3 linked regions of the Arabidopsis thaliana genome follow. The protein of the gene in region 3 interacts with the protein of the main gene of each other region in a pairwise test. Each region holds a gene or a part of one and is shown on either strand. Other genes may lie near its edges.

Region 1 (5,576 bases), on a different chromosome or scaffold from region 3:
ATCCGATATTTGTACCCAAAAGAAAAAGAAAAAAATATCTAAGAATAATTTGGCGTTATTGTGGGAGATTTGATTCGGTAAACTGACATAGCCGATCCAGTAGTGAAGCTGACCACATTTGGGCTTTATTGTCTGTTTTGTTATAAAAAAAAGGATATAAACTAAAGTTTTTCGCTATTTGTGCATCAATGCATACGTTAGCACGTAGACGTGGCATCCAACTAGCAACCAACCCCAACGTCCTTTCCAAAAGTCAGGATTGTTGCTTGTTGGTCTCCAATCTCCATTACTCTACATAGATCAATTGAAAAGGTAATTCATTATGCTCCTTAAACTTAAGATAATCATATCAAAGATGCACCGAGGAAAAAAAAAGGATCATGTCAAGTAGTATAATAATAAAAAAACGTGCCTTTTGGAGAGGTCTTTGGGTTGGTATCTTACTAATGTTTTACCAAGAGGATTTTATGGTCAAAACCTCTCCATATCATAAGACTTACTCCGGACCAAATCCCTGACCGACCGGTGATCAGCAACACGTTTCAGAGAACCCGACTTCGATAAGTTAACTTTTTCTAGAAATTAATAGCTCTATTTCATGAATTTTTAAGTGGAAAATTTTCATTACATGTTTATATTAACTTGTCACTGTGACAAACTATCAGTAAGTGTTAGGTTAATACCTAAACTCAATCAAAATTATAAAAGTCAAAAGAGAAAAAATTAACCAAAAGTAGTAACATCCGAAAACTAAACACAACGCTTTTCTAAAATGTTCACAAACAACAGAACCTCTAACTTCATTATTCCATTACAAATCCGATAATGATTCGTAGATTTAAAGAAACAGCAACACAAAACAGAGTAAAGAAAATTCAAAACAGAGAAGAAGACGAAATTGATGAGAAAATCATAAGAATCAGAGAGCTTTAAGCATATCCTCAGCACTACTATTAGTAAAAGCACCTCCTTCTTCAAGATTCAGAACTTTCACAACACCATCATCAGCCAAAATCGCATATCTCCTTGACCTAACTCCAAGTCCCACAGGCTTATCCCTCAAATCCAATTCAACACCAAGCTTCCCTGTGAATTCGCCATTTCCATCGGATAGCAACATTACCTCATCGTTAATTCCAAGATCTTTCCTCCACGCTTCCATCACGAACGCGTCGTTGACGGAGATACATGCGATTACATCGATGCCTTTAGATCTGAGTTCTCCGGCTTTGGATACGAATCCAGGGACGTGTTTTTGTGAGCATGTTGGTGTGAATGCGCCGGGAACGGCGAATAGGATTGTTTTCTTCCCGGCGGTTAGGGATGAGACGGTTACTGTTTTGACGTCTCCGGTGGATGGATCGAGGTAGGAGAGAGTGGAGTCTGGGAGCTTGTCTCCGACGGAAATGGAGGCGGTGACGGGTGTCGTAGCGAAGGATCTGGTGGTGGCGGAGGCGGAATTGGTGCGGCGGTTGCGGAATTTGAGAGAGAGATTAGGAGCGAGAGAGCGTGTGAAGGAGAGCGGCGCGGTGAAGGATACGGTGGGGGAAAGTAACGGCTTAGCGACGGAGATAACGGTGGCGGAGGAGGACATGAATCTAGAAACGGAGAGAGAAGTCGCCATTGATGCTGTTTAGGTGAAGAGTGTGTGACTTGAGGTTTGTTTTGGATTGAGTAGAGAAAGATGAAAGGCTATGTCATTATTGGGCCTACATTGTTTTCACCGCCTGATCCTTAGTGGGCCTAAATTGTATTATTCACCGCATTCTTTAATATCTACATATTTGCTTTTAAATAGGGTTGATGCAAAAAATGGTGGACACAATGAGATTGGAGGGAAGAGGAAAAGAGCGTGAAATCGGAAAGCTTTTTCAAAATAATTTGGAATTTCCTAACGCCGTTATTGGGCCTTAATGGGCCTACATTGTTTTCACCGCCTTGTTCCTAAGGCTTTGATATTTATATATTTGCTTTTAAAGAGGGTTGATGCCAAAAAAAAAAAACAAATTAGGTTTCCATTGGTATCGTAGGCACTACGGAGAGAATGTCTAGAATTCGTAGTGATTGGTCCAACCTTTGTTTCGATATTTTGAGATCAATCTTTGAAGGATTAGAGACTAAGGATTATCATCGAGCGAGGAGCGTTTGCTCACAATGGTATTTAGTTTCAAGATCATGTACGCGACCTATATGGTATCCATGGCAACTTATGCGCGACGAGGATGGTACTTTTTTGGGTCATCACAGTGAAGATCGCGAATTCTCCTTCGAAGTAGAATGTCTTGGATTTGATTTATTGAAAAGCTTTGTTATGGCTAGTTGGAGTAGTTGGCTCTTGATGAATGATCCTAGTTTAGATTTCTTATATCTTTTGAACGTGTTTACTCGCGAGATGATCAATCTTCCATCAATGAAGTCATATAAAGGAAAACAAACCAAATTGACGTCTCCTCTCAAAAATTTGGCTTGTTTTTGGATAAACGAGAGAACAAAGGATTATGTTGTAGCTTGTATTACCGAAGAAAACTGTTTGTTCACATACAAGAATGAAGATGATTATTGGTGGAATGTTGAAGACATATATTGTACACACATGACTTATAAAGACGATAAGCTTTATGTGTATACAATTGATAGCTACATCAAGACTTGATTTCTCTGGAGCTTTCCCAAAAGAAATCGTCCAAGGAAACCCGTACCGTGACCATCCGTTTTGCTTTGATAACCAACTTGGGGAATACGGTGGGAAGACGAGGATTGCGATTACGAACTCAATGGATGTTTTGATCGCTGTGAGCATTAAACGGTTACAAAACTCACGCTTGTTTTACATCTTCAAGATGAATTTTGAAAGTAGTAACTGGGAAAGAGTACATTCTCTTGGAGGTGAGTTGTTGATATTTGGTCATGGGGTCACAATCAAAGATGTTCTTTTTTTTGGCAACGCTTATGATGACATCATTAAAGGATACGTTTGCTCAAAAAGTTTCTGGTTTGTTCCTGTATATGCTTAAGACTTGGTTCGATCAGGAGCGCTTGTCTTGACGTTTAGATATACTAACTATTTTATTCATGTTGGAGGCTTTTATGTCATGATGTGTAAGATGTTAAAGATTTTCTATTTCACATGGGCAAGTTTTGAGTATCATATTGTTTTTTTTTTAGCTTATGGGTGAATCATTTTTAGTGATGGCTGATGACAATCGACAATAATGATAAAAAAAACCAATTCATTTTTCAACGCAATTCGAATACTATATAGCTGAGAAGAAATATGCGTCTATTATTCTAACTATCCATTTTTTTCTTTTGCTAAATTGTAAATATCATATTAATGAAAGAGTTGTTTTTCTTCCAGAAAAAATGAAAGAGTTGATTTTACAAAATGCATTACCTATACAATTTGTCTTACGTGATTTTCAGTGATATCGACCGTGAAATATTCTACTCGTCCTTAGGTTATGTTTTGTTTTGCTACATGGAGAGGCCTTGGTTGGGATCCTAATTCTAAACATTTGATCGTTACCTTGTTATAAATTTATTCAACTTCTACTTCATAGGATAAATTAAGTTATAGATAGTATATACACACTACTTTAGCTCTACAAATCAGTTGATGCAGTTATGTTTGAGAAAGGAAAACAAAAAAGCATACATTGTACGTGGAAAGAGCTAAATGGTTAAAAATCTAAAGATTACCATGAACTTAATTTCTAAGTTTCTCAAATTCGTTCCAATTTAATAGACACTAAGGGGGGTGTATTCAAATTAGAATTTAAAGTGATTTGAGTTTTATTGAGTATTTAAATGATTTTGATGATTTTAGGGAAGTTCATGATTTTTGTAAAATCTATTCAAATCTCACCTTAAACTATGAGATTTAGATTTCTATATTTTTAATACAGGAAATCCTCCAAAATCATTAAAAATTCAAATCCACAAATTGTTTTCATGAGACTTCTTAAAAATGTAGGATTTATAAATTCTATACAAATCTCTCATAAGACTTCTTAAATGTTGAACACAAATCCTTGATGGTAACTAAATTTATTAAGGGGACGAAAAAAAACACATCTCAGTTTTGTCTCAGAAAAATGAAAAAAAAATACAAATGCAGGCTGTGGGGTTCGAACCCACGCGCACTTATGTGCAGAAGAACTTAAGTCTTCCCCCTTAACCTCTCGGGCAAACCTGCCTTGATGTCACTCATATGAAATATAACCTTCTTAATAAACGTTTGTATCTTCCTCTTATCATTATGTTTGGAGACCTCTCATAACTATAATATATTTGTGTCGAGATTGTGATTTCTTTGTTGGTTTGCTTAATATATGCAACCTAACCACACATTCACAAATTCCATGTAATATTGATAGATAAGCTTCATAGATAACACACGTGTTTTCCTCCATATGTTCCTCTGTCTTTCTCATATCCACACAACAATCGCTCTAAGGAACAGTGACACAAACACATTCACAAGAAGGAAGCAAACACATATTCACTTATATCAAAGACCAGAATCTGCAGTGCAATGATATTCCCTTGATTTATTTTCCCGGTTTCAGAGGTTTTACATAAACTCTGTCAAATAGAGTAATCTGAATAAGGTTTTTCCCCATTAATTTAATATCATAGGGAAACAAAGTTTTTTGTTTTTTTTTCTGTTTGCATTCGCAAAACATGTGACCCCAAAAGACAAGAGACAAACTGTATGAAACTTACCAAAAAATTAAGAGAAAAAGAGTTTTTGTTCTGCATCCCAAACAGTTTGCTTCAGCAAAAATCAGTTCTTTGAACGCTTCAAGTAAACAACTATGGCTATGCTTGTTAGGACAACAGCTCCTGTAACCACCACACCACCACGCCATGAAACCCATCCGCTTCCTCTGTCTCGAGAATCACCTTTCTTGAGTTGGGTGGTTTCTGAGCTCAAGCTCCTTGTTGACTCAGTGAAGTCCAGATGCAGCCTCAAAACCTTTTGTCCTGTAGACCTAGCAAGAGTAACAGCACCAACCAAATCGCTATCCGATGTAATCAAAACCTTATCACCTTCATCGTCCTCATATATAATCTGAGGCCGTTGTTCCACATTGTTATTGTCGCTGCCAATTCTTTGCATCACAATACCCATCAGCTCTTCGAGGTTTTCAGCTCCAGAAGTAAACCGATGTACACGGCCCTTAAGGTCTTCAAATTTGAACGAAAACGAATTCCCTAGTCCTAGAGATGGGTAAGAACTGAGCTTCCCTATATCTGAATGATGCATCATTGCCGACATTTCACTTTGAGTGTCAGAATCATCAGGTGGCTCTAACGCAAGAGCTGAATCCCAAAATTTCTGCATCATCGTGTTTGCCATATCATTTACAGCTCCAGAACTGTTCTCCACCATTGAAATAGCTGCGTGAGTAATCTGAAGAACGTCTACACAAGCTGCAGCTGATCCATCTTTATCTATAATTGGAAGATGTAGAAACTTTCCATCATGCATTGTATGCAACGCATCCAGAATCGTTGTCTCTAGCGATGCACATTCAGGATTCGGTGTCATTACCTTCTCGACAAGAGTCAAT
Region 2 (6,529 bases), on a different chromosome or scaffold from region 3:
GGATTTTGTCATAGTGATATGAGCCAAAGCTTTTGCTCTTGCTTTTGTAAATGGACCCTCTGTTATCTCAGTAATGATTGAATTGCAAAGAAGTGCTCAAGCTTAAAGAACAAAGAGATTTAAAGCAAGCTTCCTCTTAACCCAAGTCTCTCTTAGAGGCTAATTGTTGGAAGTTGTGTTTTCATTAGCATAAAAATCCTTTATATAAGCCATGAAATCTTAAAAATAAAAAGGAAAAACATCAAAACCCAATAATCATATCACACAGATTGTACTATTGTGGTATTGCTTGCACATAACTCTATATATAACTAGATTATGAACATCTTAAAATGTGAGATTTTTCTCTATTTTTATCACTTTCTTTACAAAAGAAAGATTTATGATTTCAAAATAAAACTCTATCTATGAATGATAGATATAAATTTATAAAAAATGTCAAAATCCTATATAAAAGTACCAAATGTCGAACTATAATAAGATGCATTATATGTAGCTGCATAAAAGATAAGAGTATCTATATATGTTTCCTCATTAAGCACAAACAAACAGCAAGAACCAAAAAATGTACTTTCTGGATTACGAAAGATCTAGAAAAAGTGAAGAAGGGCCAAAATTATTAACTTGAATAATAAAGTAATTGCTAGATTCTATTATAAATTAGCTTCCATTCAACAAAAGAAAAGTTTTACATCTAGTTCTAACCATTTGTTTCTTAAAAGTCTTGCAGCATACAGATTTAAAGTTCCTCAGAAGTAAGAAGTGGCTAAAATTCTCTGAAGATAAGTCCATACTAAAACGATCCTACTTGTCGCAAACACACCAACCTTAACAAGAACTTTAAAATGTGTCCGAGAGACGGAAAAGACCACTCACTTTTAATCATTCGACATCAGCAGCTCCCAATAGGTATGATGTTGGTGCATTATCTCCAAGCAGTGGAATATACTCTAATCCTCTCACGTGAACGCTAAAGCAAGCTAATAAACAAACAAACAAAAAAGAGTTACAAAAACGTATTGGTTGGTATCTAATAGTGTGCGGATATGAGATTTGTGCATACCGTTCTCTATTTTGATCACACTTTGAAGCATCACTTCCATCTTGGATTTCATGTCATAACTGTCATCCATCTTTGGCACAACTAGCATTAGTTCCCTATGAATCTGTCGAACAAACTGACAAATCCTCTGCGCGAATTCGATTTCACCGTCTGATATGCGACCAATTGCCATCCGCATTAGCTCTCCCGTCAAATCTGCAAGCTGTGCAAGTAACAAACAATAATCAAACATAATTCAGAACTCCAAACAATAGAGAACATCTTTGACAGTAAGTATTAACCATAAATAAAGATGGTCTAAAAAATACCCCAAGAATATAGTCGAGGATATTGATCTGCAACGGCTCTAAAGAAGGGTCACTAAGTGGTACAAGCGTTGTGTTAATCTCATCGAGAGTACATAGCGTCCCAGACAAACAGAACTTATAAAACGTTGCAGCTTCAACATATTCCTGCACCTGTAAGTTACACAAAACCACAAAACATATCAGTTAAACCATTAACCAAAATCGTACCAAAAGATGAATGATTTTCCGTTTCACAAACCCCTGGGGAATAAGCACGTCTCAGCTTCCAAAAATCAGTCCCTTGAAGCTCTTTCATTAGCCGGGCAAAATGTTGATCCCTCACTGCTTCTAAATCCTTCCCTGCTTTCTCCAATACCTCCTCTTTGTTGTCTTTACTGAGCCTGCCATATAACAACATAGTAAACAAAACAAACAAACAGTATCTTGATGAAGAACACAACAAAAACACACAAAATCTTGATGAACACAAACAAAAACAACAGAGGTGTTGAAATTACCTGTGAACCTGAAAGATAACTTTTTTGCTGTTCATTGTGATATCACGACTTACCTTCACCACTCTTTCTCGCTTCTCATTCTACAAAGAAACAATCATAGAAACCAGATAAAGCCTCCTCCTTTATTCTCAATTCGCTATAGAATCTATTACAAAACCCAAGTTGCAACATGAAAGATCATTTCTTTAGTTGTCTAAACCTATAAACCTTACTTAAAGGACTCAATCCCATGACGCAAAGGTTCAATCTTTATAAACAAACAGATAAACCCAGGAGAAACAATGGAGCAGAGGAAACACTTACGAAGTTATTGAGATAATCAGCGTAAGTAGAGAAAGCATCTTTCATTGAGGATTCAGTACTCATCGTCCTAGCTTTCTTAACCAAATGTTCAACACCACTCTCTGCAACTACACAAACACCAAAACCATCGTTACTAATCAACACTAAAGACCACACAAAGCAATAGATATATGTAGAAGTGAGTGTGTATACATACTTTGATGGAGTCTCTGAGGTTTTAATTTGGGAGCCATAAGCATAAAGGCTACTCTTTGGAACGCCGATGAAGAACAACTCAACATCTGTCTGATTTCTCCGATGCTCACTCGAAGCCCAAAGGTTTATTTCGCGATGCTTTAGTTTGAAAGTTAAATATTAAACGAGAGAATAAGGAGACATCAGGTGCTGTGGTGTAGTGGTTATCACGTTTGCCTTACACGCAAAAGGTCTCCAGTTCGATCCTGGGCAGCACCAGTTTTTTGTAATTAGGATTGATTGATTCATTTTTTCTCCACGGTTTTGAATGGTATTTTTAATTAAGGTTAATTTACAGTATATTGTTTTTTTCTTTTCCTAATTTTGAATGTGTTCTACAACCTAGCTTATTTTATGTACAAAAAGTGTTCAATAAAGTGCATAAATCAATTTGAGATGACCAACATTCTTGTAAACTATGATGGTAGATGTTAGAGAATATTTTGAACTAATTGGATTTGAGTTTAATACTAATTTGATTTCATAATGATAAATGAGCATTTAGTAATTGTTGGTTTTACGTTTAAATGGTAATTCCTATATAGATGATTAGTTTTGTTCCATGTTCAAAATATTGTTAGTCGTTAATTAGACAGCCGATGGGTCCTAATGATTACTCGGTTAATCGAAGAATAATCGAAAATTAGTTTTAAAATTATTTTATATATCTTAGGTTTACATACAATTTATGTTATAAAATGTCACATAATAAATTATGAGTCTTATAATAATTTTATGGATATCATTTTAGAAAAAATGAAAGCTAAGTCTATTAAGCAAACATATAACTATATTTGGTTGTTCCTCAAACTTATACGTTTTTGTTCACACAACATATTATCTATTTGTTTACCAGCCAAAATTTATTAAATTTTCATGAGCCAAAATTTACTCATCAGTGTGACTTTGCTGCCAAATATTTCATAAACCACCGTGAAACAATGATTTAGAAAATGTAACTCTCTAGAGAAAAAATATATGTTTTCTTTCTTAGTGATGAATTGTGTAACCTCGACTGTCATTCAGATAATTTTCTTGTTTTTTTTGTTTTCTCTAAGTTTCAGTTTCAAGTGTAGTAACTCTCAAACGGGCATGAATCAACAAACACTTTATATTATGTCTTCCATTTAAAGTAGTATAATCATTTGGATTATGAATTGTTTTTCAACAATTTATGGATCATGACTTTTTTTGTCAATAATTTATGGATCATAACTTTGATGATATATGACTGTTTATATGTATCTAGGTTACAAAATTAAACAAATTTACAATACTTAGTGTTATCATATGGATTAATCAGATTATATTATTCATTGTCATTAGATGGATTTTTGAAGATTAGTCAGTCAAAAGTATGCAAAATATCTTAGCATGATGCGAGACAAATTCAATAGGTGGGTTGGTTTAATTTGATTTTCATAAATGACAATGGTATTGTTAAAAAAATAAATAACAGGTGATCCCCAAAACTTGTAATCCATAAAACATACATATTATACTTTAATTTATTTTACAAATGTTTTTTTATATATAACTAACAAAACAATAATATTTGTGATGACCAACTCATAATCTTATTCTATATATACTTACTGTAAAATATATACTCTTTGGCGTAATAAATTAAGAAAACTTAAAAATTAAATATCAACAAATTAAAATAGAATTTTTTTTCTCTCTCGCAATTTACTGCTGGTTCAATCCTAGTTTTTAGCGGATGTTATTTTAATTACTAAGTTTCGCGCACAGAAAAAAAAAGTTATTTATCTACTATACCTCATTTCTAAACTAAATCACTATGCATAAAAAAAAAACTATAAGAAGACATATTCGGCTCATAATTTCAGAAAAAAAAAACTTGACATTAGTTATGCATGTGATATTATATTATATACTTTCTATGTGATATATACTTTTCTTTTTCTTAATATAGATAAAAAAACTCCAAAAGTTTTTAAATTGCTAAATTACTCTAACCAATTATTTGAAATGATATTTTTGTTATTTGTTTTTGATTAGTCCTTTTAACATTTAAATTCCCCTATCACAGAATCAAGACTCAAAAATCGACAAAATTGATTTGTACTTATCAACTCGATTCAAGACTCAATTTGATTTAATTTTGTTTGTTACGGTTTTTTTTTTCTGTAGCAAATTGCTGAGTTAAATTTTAGTTTTATAATTACCAAAACATAGAAAAATCATATATAATCCGGCGATTCAATTTTTTATCATCTTTTACAATTTTTCCGAATACTGGTTTTTTTTTTTAACCGCTTAAAAAAAATTAGTTACCTCGTTTAAACTTGATTACCAATTGAACTCAGTAATTGCTTAGCTTGTTGATCAAACAAAATAAAATCCTTTTAAACACCTTTCCGAAAGTTAAAACCTAAAAGTTTCAATTCATGATTTTGAAAATAAGCGGCCGAAACATTATACACTTCCTCCACACGCACAACAATAGACTCAAAGCAAACGCAACTCATATCCAATCGCTTTTAAACGCCAATAATCGCGTTACAGTAACAACTCGAAAAATGGTAACACTAATCGTGGCCACCACCGCCGATCCAGCGTCGATCAACCCTGCGGCGGCGCTTCTCGCCATGCCCGGTTGGACCGCCGGACCTATCTTACCGCCGGTAAAGTTTCAATCATCCTCCGCCGGTAAAGTATCAACCTTTCTCTCGTCTGATTTTGTTCTTGTCGAAATTTTCAGGACATAAAGAGTTTTAGTAACAAGCAAACGAGAGTGATTCAACACGATAGATCTATAGTAAAAGAAGACGATCTCGATTTACGTTGGGAAGAAGCTACCGGTGAAGTTGTTGATGAAGTCATCTTCCTCAGCCGTCACACCGCCGTCTCAAATCGTCCTGCTTTAACTGTTCATCCGATTGGTAGTGCATCAAAATCCAAACTTTTGATTAGGGCTTTGTTCTTTTTACGATTTTCTGAAAGATTCAAACTTTGTATTTGGGTTTTGGTTGTTTTATGTTTTCCTGAAGGATGTTTTGGTTGATAAGTGTAGGAGTGCTTCATCTAAAGGATGGAGAATCACCGCCGCAAGGAGGAAAGCCTGGATGGGCGGCGTTGCCAAGCACTAGAATTGGTCCATGGTTTCGTCTTTTGAAGAAAATGGCTGAAGCTCATGGTTTAGTTCCTGAGTTTGAGGTATTTTGCTGTTTACTCTCTCTTATGAGTTTTGCTTTTGATTGGAATTGAAGTATGGTTTAAGGTGAGAGAGAATGTAAATTGCTTTGTGTGGATGCAGATAACATTGGAAGCTACTCATCATGGACCAATAACTAACAAGCCAACGATGTTTTTGGAGATTGGTGAGTTTCTTTCTTTGTTCCTTTTATCTGAATTGATTAGCTCTCTGCTCGCTCTCTTGAAATTGCCATTTCGTTGTGTATCCGAGTTTCTTAGTTCATCTCCAGTGTAGTTTTTGAGGAATTGAATCTATAGTCTGAGAATGAATAACGTGTGTGTAGGTAGTACCGAGGAATACTGGAAGAGGCAAGACGCAGCTCAAGTCATGGCTCTTGTAAGTGTAAAAAAGTTAGTTAATTGAAATGGTTTCAGGAGGTAGAAAAAGGTCGTTGTTCTTGTATCTTGTTGTTTCCTGTGGATTTAAAGACTTCTCTAGGGTTGAAAGTTTGGTTCTAATAATCATCATGCTTAACAACAACTTTTGAGGCTCATGACTGGCCAGTAACTTTTAGTCTATATCTCTAAGTTTGCTTCCATTTAGTAAGGAGCATTTGTGTTTTGTGATTCAGTTAATGTGGGAAGGTCTTGGGCTAGGAGGCAGTGAAGAAGTAGGGAAGTGGAAAAGGTATATCCATTGGGGCTTAATCATTACCTCGACATAAAGAAAAACCGAAGTATCGATCTAAACTTAGTGTGGATTGTTTTTGGGTGGACAGTGAAACCGGAAAGAGGAAAGTTCTTTTAGGCATTGGAGGTGGACATTATGCTCCTCGTCACATGGATATAGCTTTGTAAGTTGTCAAGAACTCTGCTTTGTGCAAGCACAACATTGAACACGTTCTTTATCTCATTGTTTTGATTCTGCATTCATCAGGAAAGATGATATTTGGGTAGGCCATTTG
Region 3 (8,472 bases):
TGGAGCAAACGAGAAAATGATGAGGAAAAAAGTGAAGAAAGACCGGGAAGGCTATAAAGGAATCTTGTAGGATATACGTGATTACTATTTTACCCCTACGTTATTGACACGTGTCGTGATTCAAGAGGATAAGAAAGTTTTGGATATTTTTCTTTTTTCTCAATGAGGTTAATAAAAAAGAGTTAATTAGATGGATAATCATATCTTTAAACGGAATCACAATTATCTGATTTTAAACTTTTGATAAGGCAATGTAGATTGTAAAAATAGTAATTTGTTTGGATAAATAGTAACGCAATTTATAGGAATGTTACTAGTAATTTTTGGAATGTAATAACTATTTTTATGATAAAAAGTTTATAAATTTAGTAGACGTGTAAAATAGGACTTAATTACGTAATTACATTCATTGCAAATGCTGGATATTATTGGTAGTGTAATAATATTAAATAGATAAACGATTTTGAAAACATATCTGAAAAGTATCCATTTTATTATCGTTTGTGTAATATTAGGTGCGTTTGATAATGCAGTATTTATTAGAAAGTTGTCGCTTAATTAGAGAAAATTTTCCTAAGATGGAGGAATTAATTTATTTAGTAGTAACGTATAAAAAAGGCTTTATTTGAGGGAAGAATCTAATGGTACAAATGAGGATAAGATTTATAAAAATAAAGTCATGAAAATGACGTGGCGAGTACGTGCACTCGATTATTAATAATTAAAAATAAAATTAAATCGAGGAAAGCCACATGGGTGATCATAAAAGGCAATATCTCTTAAATAAAAGGTCAATCCAACGGTTCGATTCGTCACGCGCTTCGATCGAAACGTATAACTGACTTAAATTAAAATAATTGTATCGTATTTTAGCTACTTTTTAAAATTGACAGCAATAAAATTTGTGTAAAAATGTAAATACTTTATAGTTAGTGCTCAGGAGAAATAAAATGTTGATAGACGTCTTTGAACAATCAATGGAGTGGAAGGTGTGGCCGAATTAGTCAATTTGTTAACAAATGCCAAGGCCAAATATTTTGTTGGGCTTTTAGTTTGGCCCAAATTGTATACAATGCTTGATGACAAACTCGGAAAAAAAAAGCAAAAAAACAAAAAAAAACCTCTCATAATACATTAGTTTATTATATAAAATGTTCCACTAAATCACACATCTCCTCCTCACTCAACACGAAACCCTTCCAAATTCCTTCACTATCCATTTCAATTTCATCCTCCCCTTGTCCTTGATGCTCCATTGAAGCTATGTGAAGCTCATCACCATAATCAAACACACCTCCACATTGATCATCGATGTCATCACCATACTCTTCTGGCTCAGCTTTAACAAACTTTCCATTATCCTCAACACCATGGCTTGAGATCACCTCTTGCTTTTGCTCTCGATTCTTGATTCCTTGCAGATTACGTTTCCTTAAGCTCTGTAAAAAACTCGGTTTCTTAATCTTCTTTAGCAAGAAATTCATCATCATTTCTTGCTTTACTTCTGTGACTTTCAGTTTCTCTTCCATCAAATGCAGATATGTCTTCACGCTTTCTTGTTTTCGTCGCAGTCTAACCAGTTCTACTTCTAAAGCCATTCTGTCTCTTCGCAGCTCATGGATCTCTCCTTCTAGCGACTGCGTTTGCGTTTGAGATGATGTCTTTCTTCTCTTGATGTTCTTAAGAAGATGCCTCTCTCCCTTCAGAAAATGCTCATTTGCAAATTCCCATCTCTCTGTATCAATCTTCTTAAACCCCTACAGATCATTAAACAAAGATTTAATTTTTAATGAAGATCAAAATAACCAAGACAAAAACTCAAAAGTAGTTACGTACATAAGTATTGAGCTGTCTAACAAAGCTGGAGAAATTATTGTGCTTAAAGCATCTAGGGAGGCAAATTAGGGCAAAAGTCTCTGGTTCCCAAACAATGAAGCTGTTGTTGTCTCTGCTCCATGAAACTATGTTGTTTGTGCTTGAATCCTCCACTATGTTGTATGTTTTCGTCAAGAAAGCCGTTGGTGGCGTTTCTTTGAGACCCTCTAATGGAATTGGAAGGTTATAATCCATTTTGTGAACAAAAAACCTATATAAATTTGAGCTTTTTTAATAAAAAAAGAGAGAGGAGAGAATAGTTGTGATGAATAGCTGAAGCTTGAGGATGCTTTTATGCTGTCTATATTTTTGGGGTTTAATATTTTTGGATAGAAATGTATTGCTTTTGAGTGTTTTGGATAAGTCTATTTATTAGTTATCTTTGATGTGGACAAAGCCGATTTGCTATAAATGGAAATGAGAGATCATAGTGTCATACATTCATTGGAAGATGCTACTTTTGTGTTCTTTTGTCTTCTATGAATATCAGAAAATCTAAAATTTAATTAATCATTATAAATTTAGTGACTATGCTCCAACATTTATAAGCTTCGTTTTCGCCCATGACACGTTGTAGTGAATGCATAGAGATACGTTTCGTGGTTTGTTTGTTTATTCTGAAGTCAGAATGATGGGATTTTTGGTGGAACCCTTTGAAAGATTTGTGTAGAGAACAAGAGTATCCTTTGAAAATTTGATTGATCCTTGATTCAATTGAATTGGGTTGGGGGAAAACCAGATCTAACCACACCAAATCAAACGGTTAAGCACGACACAAGCAGAATTATACATTATATATATATATACAATTAATATATTGATAATGCATAATTTTAAGAAGATTTTGTAAAGAAGAGGTCATTTCAAATATAAGAAAATTTATGCTTTAACTTTTGAAGTACACTAACACTATATAAGTAATAATACTTGAATTACAGTTTGGAAAGCTCAAATAATTTATTCGAAAATCGTAGGGTTTTTTTAGTTATAAATTTCACGTTCGCAGCTGACATTTGTTTTTTAATGATACTTATTAGATAAATACACACTATTTTTTTTATGTATAAAAGCATACATCGCAAAAGTATGTTACAAGAACAACTATCCAGAAGGAGCCGCTGTTTTTATTTTACTGCTTAAGACTAAAGAGTAAACAATACATACAAATTACACAACAAGCATATATTAATATTGTTAATGTGCTTTAACGGTTTCTCCAAACTTGTAGGTTAAGCCGTGGATATACTTTTTCCTAACAGGATGTTCTTCCTGTGGCCGGTTATATGGTGTCCAAACCGGTTCCCCCACGAACAGCCTCATTAGCTGCAAAACCAAACCACCATACATCACAAACCAACAATCAAATCTTTTAACATAAGATATTAAGATGTAATATTTCATTTGCGTATTCATATAAATTAGTAAATTAGTATAGAGACTGAGTTTGGCTTTTTGTACCTTGATGTAGTTGCTGGCGTCGAGTGTGAACCGGTGGTAGATTCCGGCAGGAAGGACAATGAGATCGCCAGGTTGCATCCAGATACGGATCCAACGATCATCCTTGTCCCTAACATCAAAGTAGCCACTTCCTGCTAGGCAGTACCGAATCTCTTCGTCCTTGTGAATGTGTTCTGTGAAAAAGTTCTTCAGCTTTTCTTCGTAGTTGCTGACTTTCTCGGGACACAGATCCAGCAAATCCTAAAATGAAGATTAACCAAAGTAATCATTCTGCTTGAGAAAATTAGTTTATAGCTCATAAGTTACAATGCTACACACCACACAAATAGCTTAATTATTTTTAACGTAAACCAAACGTTTTAATGTTCCCTTAATACTCAATTACAGAGAAGCCTTCTTCCTTAATAAGCTGGTTTCTAAAATGTTTGTAGTCATACTACCCCTTAATGGTTATGCAAGATTATAGTCCTACTGTCCTATGATACATGTTTTTTTTTTTCATGAGATTAGCGTGCAGAGATAACAAGTAAAGGAACTGAAACATCAATAGCCGCTTATGGTGAGCATGAGTTAAAAAAGGGTGATCAGAAAGACATAAGCCGTAGCAAATCCTGTACTCTAATACTCATAAGGCTTCTTTCTTCATAGGCTGGTTTTGTAAGGTTTGAGTACTACCTTCATTATGTAGTCCTACACTCCTACTGTGTCTAGTATATGTCACAATCGTTAATCTCATGAGATCAACATGCAACGATATGCAACAAGTTAAAAAACAGAGACATTCAATTGGCATTTATGATGAGCATGAGTGTTCCTAAGTTAAGAAAAAACAGTGATCAGGAAGAGATAATATGCGTACCATGTAATCGTAACCCCTGTCTTCTCTAATCTTGCTAAGTTCAGAATCATTCTCGTAGTTCTCAGGGTTCAACTTCCAGTACAACACTCCCAACTCTACAAAACACAACAACTATATTTGTGATATTTGCATAATTTATGATTCTGTTAAATCTCATCTTGGGTAAATTTGACCATTTCCTTAGTTTTAAGACGGTTTACGTTTAGTTTCCTCATGTAGAATCACTACTCAATACAATAAAGCATGAAAGATTGATGTTTTTCAAAAGTTGCAAAGTAAGAGTAATTTTTAAGGTAGAGAATTGAAAAGACCTGCCAAGTAATCCAACGAGACGAGTTCTTTCGGGTTACGATGATGAGGAAGTCTCTGGTCCTCATTGCTATCATCCATAAACCATGCCTGCATCAATCAACACTTAAGCCTCAGGGAAAGAAAAAAATCTCAAGAAAAAACTTTTGATTCAATTTTCAATTTCAGCTGCAAAACGGTAAAATCAAATCCCAATTCTCAGTTCTGCCAAAATCAAATCAAATCCCCAAAATAATTCCGAAAGAGCAACGATAATCACTATTGAACGAATCGAGATTCGAAATCAGAATCTAGAACCTATGAATCAGAACTCACCTCGAGAGCCATTAATGATCTTCGTTGTGTAAATGCTTTTTTGATTTCAGACTCATCAGAGTGATGAAGATCAGATAAATAAATGGCTATTTCCTCCGTCGATGATAGCCACGTGTACGATCACTTTAATTCGTATTATTTTCCTTTCTCCTAATTTTTATTAATTCTGGTTTCGAAATTCTAATAATAAAAAATCGTTATTTTTTCTTTTGCACGAAAAAAACAACCGTTTTCGAGCCACAATGATCATGAATGAATAAGACCAAAACATTGGCTCATTTGTATGATATTGTATTTTCTGAGGTTCATATATTTCCATCTGATTTGAACTAGAATGATCTATATTCAGATATATAATTTATATTTCAAACTTGAAATTAGTTTTAACTAGAAAAAAAAAATGTAATCCAAAATCGTACATAGGTATATATATTTTTTTTCCACAAATCGTACATAGGTAATGAGGTAATGTTTAACACTTTAACTTGGGCCGTGTAATACAAATTGGGCCGTTTAACACTTTAAATTAGTCTCGAATGTTATATAATGTTTTTTTTTTTTTTAAATTGGACTAGAGAAAAAGTAGTCTAGTATGAAGTACAAAGCCCATTCCTTGTACCCAGCAACAGCATATCAATTTATTTTTTTGCTAAGAGCATATCATATCATATCAATTTTTTTCTCTTCTATATTTTAATTTTTAATACTTCTTAGTCATAAATCTTTTGACCATTTATTATTAAATTTAATCTGAAACACAAAGTAACTTTCTTACAAAAATTCAAATCTCCAATTATTTTGTTTGAATTTAAATATTTTTTAAAATTCCAAAAAATCTCATATATATAGGATCTGACTTTGTTTAAATATAGAGAAATTTAACTAGACTATAATAAAAAGACTTCATAAAATTTATTACCCAAAATTAGAAAAAATCAGGTTTCAATACTGAAAATAGACTATGAATATATGGCCTTATGATTGTAGTTGTTATATTCCATGCACACATAAGTAATTTCTTTCTATTTGATTTGTTTTTTAAAAAAAAATATTTAGAAGTTTAAATTTAAAGGTCTTATATTTTTTAGAGATGGGACACAAGTTAAATTTATATTCTTTAGAAAATAGATTCTTTTCAACAGACGTTTAATCCAATATCTACATCTGGAAGATTTATCATTACACCAACCCCAATAATATAAGTAATTTAACATAAGTAATTTTTTTCTATTTGATTTTGTTTATGTGCTCTTTAAAATTAACCAAGATTTCAACGGCCATACTTCTTATAACTTTTAATAATATCTCTACTCACCTCATTCTCATGAACCCACCAAACAAAAAAAGTAAAGAAAAGAAAAACTAATAAAGAACAAAAAAAATGTCCTCTTCTTCATCAAGAAACGCCTTTGAAGATGGCAAATACAAATCAAATCTCTTAACCTTGGACTCATCATCTCGTTGCTGCAAAATAACACCGTCTTCTAGAGCTTCACCGTCTCCGCCAAAGCAGCTGTTGGTGGCTACGCCGGTGGAGGAAGGAGATTATCCGGTGGTGATGCTCCTCCATGGTTACCTTCTCTACAACTCCTTCTATTCTCAGCTTATGTTGCATGTCTCTTCTCATGGCTTCATCCTCATCGCTCCTCAGGTTCAATTTCAATTTCCAATCATTACATTAGTTCAGGAACTAATTAGCCACTGAAATTCTTGTTTAGTTTTAGATTCCTATGTGTATTAGTAATTTAGTATAGAAATTATTTTTTGGGGGGTCAAACTAGTGTATAGTTTTTGTTTAATTAGTAAAATGTTATGAGTTATTTTTATGGAAATGGTACTATCGGAATTGTTAAATCCAGTGTATAGTTTTTGTTTAGGGATTTAGTATTAGTGTAGAGTTTAGAAAAATGTAAATTCGCTACAATCTCGTTCCATTCCATTTTGTGCAAATATTGCATGTGACTGACTACTTGGTCCTTTGAGGTTTAGTGTGAATGTTCATGAATATGTAGGTCCATGTATTAAGATATTCTAGTTGAATCCAAAAAAATCATAATAAATACATATACATTGATTTGTTAGGACTTATAGGATTTAGGATTTAGGATTTAACCAAGATGTATCTATAATTCAGCTGGATGCATGGAACACATTATGCCACGTTTAAATTAGTTATTTTTCTGAAACTTTTCTTTTATTATTGTTTGGCTCTTATAAGAACCTTAGACAAGAAGAAAAGTAAGAACAAAAATGCATATCAATGGGTCCACTTGATGTGTTTATCCTGTTTTTGTCTCTAGAGTCTCTCGAATTTCTAATATCAAATGTTAACATTTTATTTTATATGGTTGTAAATCAAATTTCTTGGCTATGTGATATTATAACAGTTATATAGTATCGCCGGACCAGACACAATGGATGAGATTAAATCAACGGCGGAGATTATGGATTGGTTATCAGTAGGACTTAATCACTTTCTTCCAGCGCAAGTAACACCAAACCTATCCAAATTTGCCCTCTCCGGCCATAGCCGCGGTGGCAAAACCGCGTTTGCGGTCGCCTTAAAGAAATTTGGGTACTCCTCGAATCTAAAGATCTCGACATTGATCGGTATAGATCCAGTCGATGGAACAGGGAAAGGGAAACAAACCCCTCCTCCGGTGTTGGCTTACCTTCCAAACTCATTTGACCTAGACAAAACGCCTATACTTGTGATCGGTTCGGGGCTTGGTGAAACCGCTCGGAACCCATTATTCCCACCGTGTGCACCTCCCGGAGTGAATCACCGAGAGTTCTTTCGGGAATGTCAAGGTCCAGCATGGCATTTCGTTGCGAAGGATTATGGGCATTTGGACATGCTTGATGATGATACAAAAGGGATTAGAGGGAAGAGTTCTTATTGTTTGTGTAAGAATGGTGAAGAGAGGAGACCAATGAGGAGATTCGTTGGTGGACTTGTTGTATCATTTTTGAAGGCTTATTTGGAAGGAGATGATCGTGAATTAGTTAAGATCAAAGATGGGTGTCACGAGGATGTTCCCGTTGAAATTCAAGAGTTTGAGGTTATCATGTAAACATAAGTTTTTCTTTAGGGGCTGGTTTTTCTATTGTCAATATCATCAGCTTTTGTTGCTTATGGTTTTACAAACTTATATTGTACAACTCTTTAAGTCACCTCTTTGCTTATGATATTAACCCGATCACATTCACAATACTAGAAGAGTGAACTTTCAAAACCTTTAAAAGAATATCATGTAATTTACATATTCTTCTAATACAAAGATCTTACTTTAAAAATATAAATTAGACAGCTCAGACCCAATATCTCTTCTAGCTAGAAAAAAGGCACACCAAGAAAAATAGATAATACAAATTTGCCCCATTAGTTTCCATATTCATGTGACTTTACCCAAGACTATACCTTAATTCAACATTTATGTTTCCTATCAGAAGCAATGGAAAGAAGCATGGAAACACCTTGTGTCCAAAGATCATATTCCCTTTGGCTTTTGCACTCGAATTCAATCACTCTTTTCTCCACCGTCTTCAGCCCGAAATACCTCAAATTCTCTCCACCCTCGAGCATTTCCCGGCCAGGCCACGCCGGTAATCCCTTAACCAATCCCACCACCACATCTACAGAGATCAATACATCA

Evidence for each region.
Region 1: the proteins of ARD4 (region 3) and AT3G52960 interact in a two-hybrid assay, tested with the Arabidopsis thaliana proteins (one large-scale study listed by BioGRID).
Region 2: the proteins of ARD4 (region 3) and AT2G03780 interact in a two-hybrid assay, tested with the Arabidopsis thaliana proteins (one large-scale study listed by BioGRID).

The regions. Positions count from the first base shown.
Region 1 is NC_003074.8:19,635,747-19,641,322, reverse strand, and holds AT3G52960 (Thioredoxin superfamily protein), read right to left. Parts: upstream 1,775-5,576; 5' UTR 1,625-1,774; coding exon 920-1,624; 3' UTR 613-919; downstream 1-612. Other genes in the region: AT3G52950 (CBS / octicosapeptide/Phox/Bemp1 (PB1) domains-containing protein), read right to left, coding at 4,787-5,576. UniProt on the Arabidopsis thaliana protein: Thiol-specific peroxidase that catalyzes the reduction of hydrogen peroxide and organic hydroperoxides to water and alcohols, respectively. Plays a role in cell protection against oxidative stress by detoxifying peroxides.
Region 2 is NC_003071.7:1,151,834-1,158,362, forward strand, and holds AT2G03780 (Translin family protein), read right to left. Parts: upstream 2,490-6,529; 5' UTR 2,453-2,489; coding exon 2,368-2,452; intron 2,336-2,367; exon of another isoform or gene 2,279-2,335; coding exon 2,172-2,278; intron 1,949-2,171; coding exon 1,869-1,948; exon of another isoform or gene 1,769-1,868; coding exon of another isoform or gene 1,752-1,768; coding exon 1,610-1,751; intron 1,522-1,609; coding exon 1,372-1,521; intron 1,266-1,371; coding exon 1,064-1,265; intron 981-1,063; coding exon 883-980; 3' UTR 613-882; downstream 1-612. Other genes in the region: AT2G03770 (P-loop containing nucleoside triphosphate hydrolases superfamily protein), read right to left, coding at 1-12; GEK1 (D-aminoacyl-tRNA deacylase), read left to right, coding at 4,817-5,053, 5,131-5,311, 5,443-5,585, 5,686-5,749, 5,909-5,961, 6,197-6,252, 6,344-6,418, 6,502-6,529.
Region 3 is NC_003076.8:17,624,295-17,632,766, forward strand, and holds ARD4 (RmlC-like cupins superfamily protein), read right to left. Parts: upstream 5,070-8,472; 5' UTR 4,829-5,069; coding exon 4,817-4,828; intron 4,592-4,816; coding exon 4,504-4,591; intron 4,288-4,503; coding exon 4,193-4,287; intron 3,574-4,192; coding exon 3,334-3,573; intron 3,199-3,333; coding exon 3,070-3,198; 3' UTR 2,838-3,069; downstream 1-2,837. Other genes in the region: HSFA6A (heat shock transcription factor A6A), read right to left, coding at 1,143-1,757, 1,837-2,070; CLH2 (chlorophyllase 2), read left to right, coding at 6,198-6,467, 7,204-7,890; AT5G43870 (auxin canalization protein (DUF828)), read right to left, coding at 8,244-8,452. UniProt on the Arabidopsis thaliana protein: Catalyzes 2 different reactions between oxygen and the acireductone 1,2-dihydroxy-3-keto-5-methylthiopentene (DHK-MTPene) depending upon the metal bound in the active site.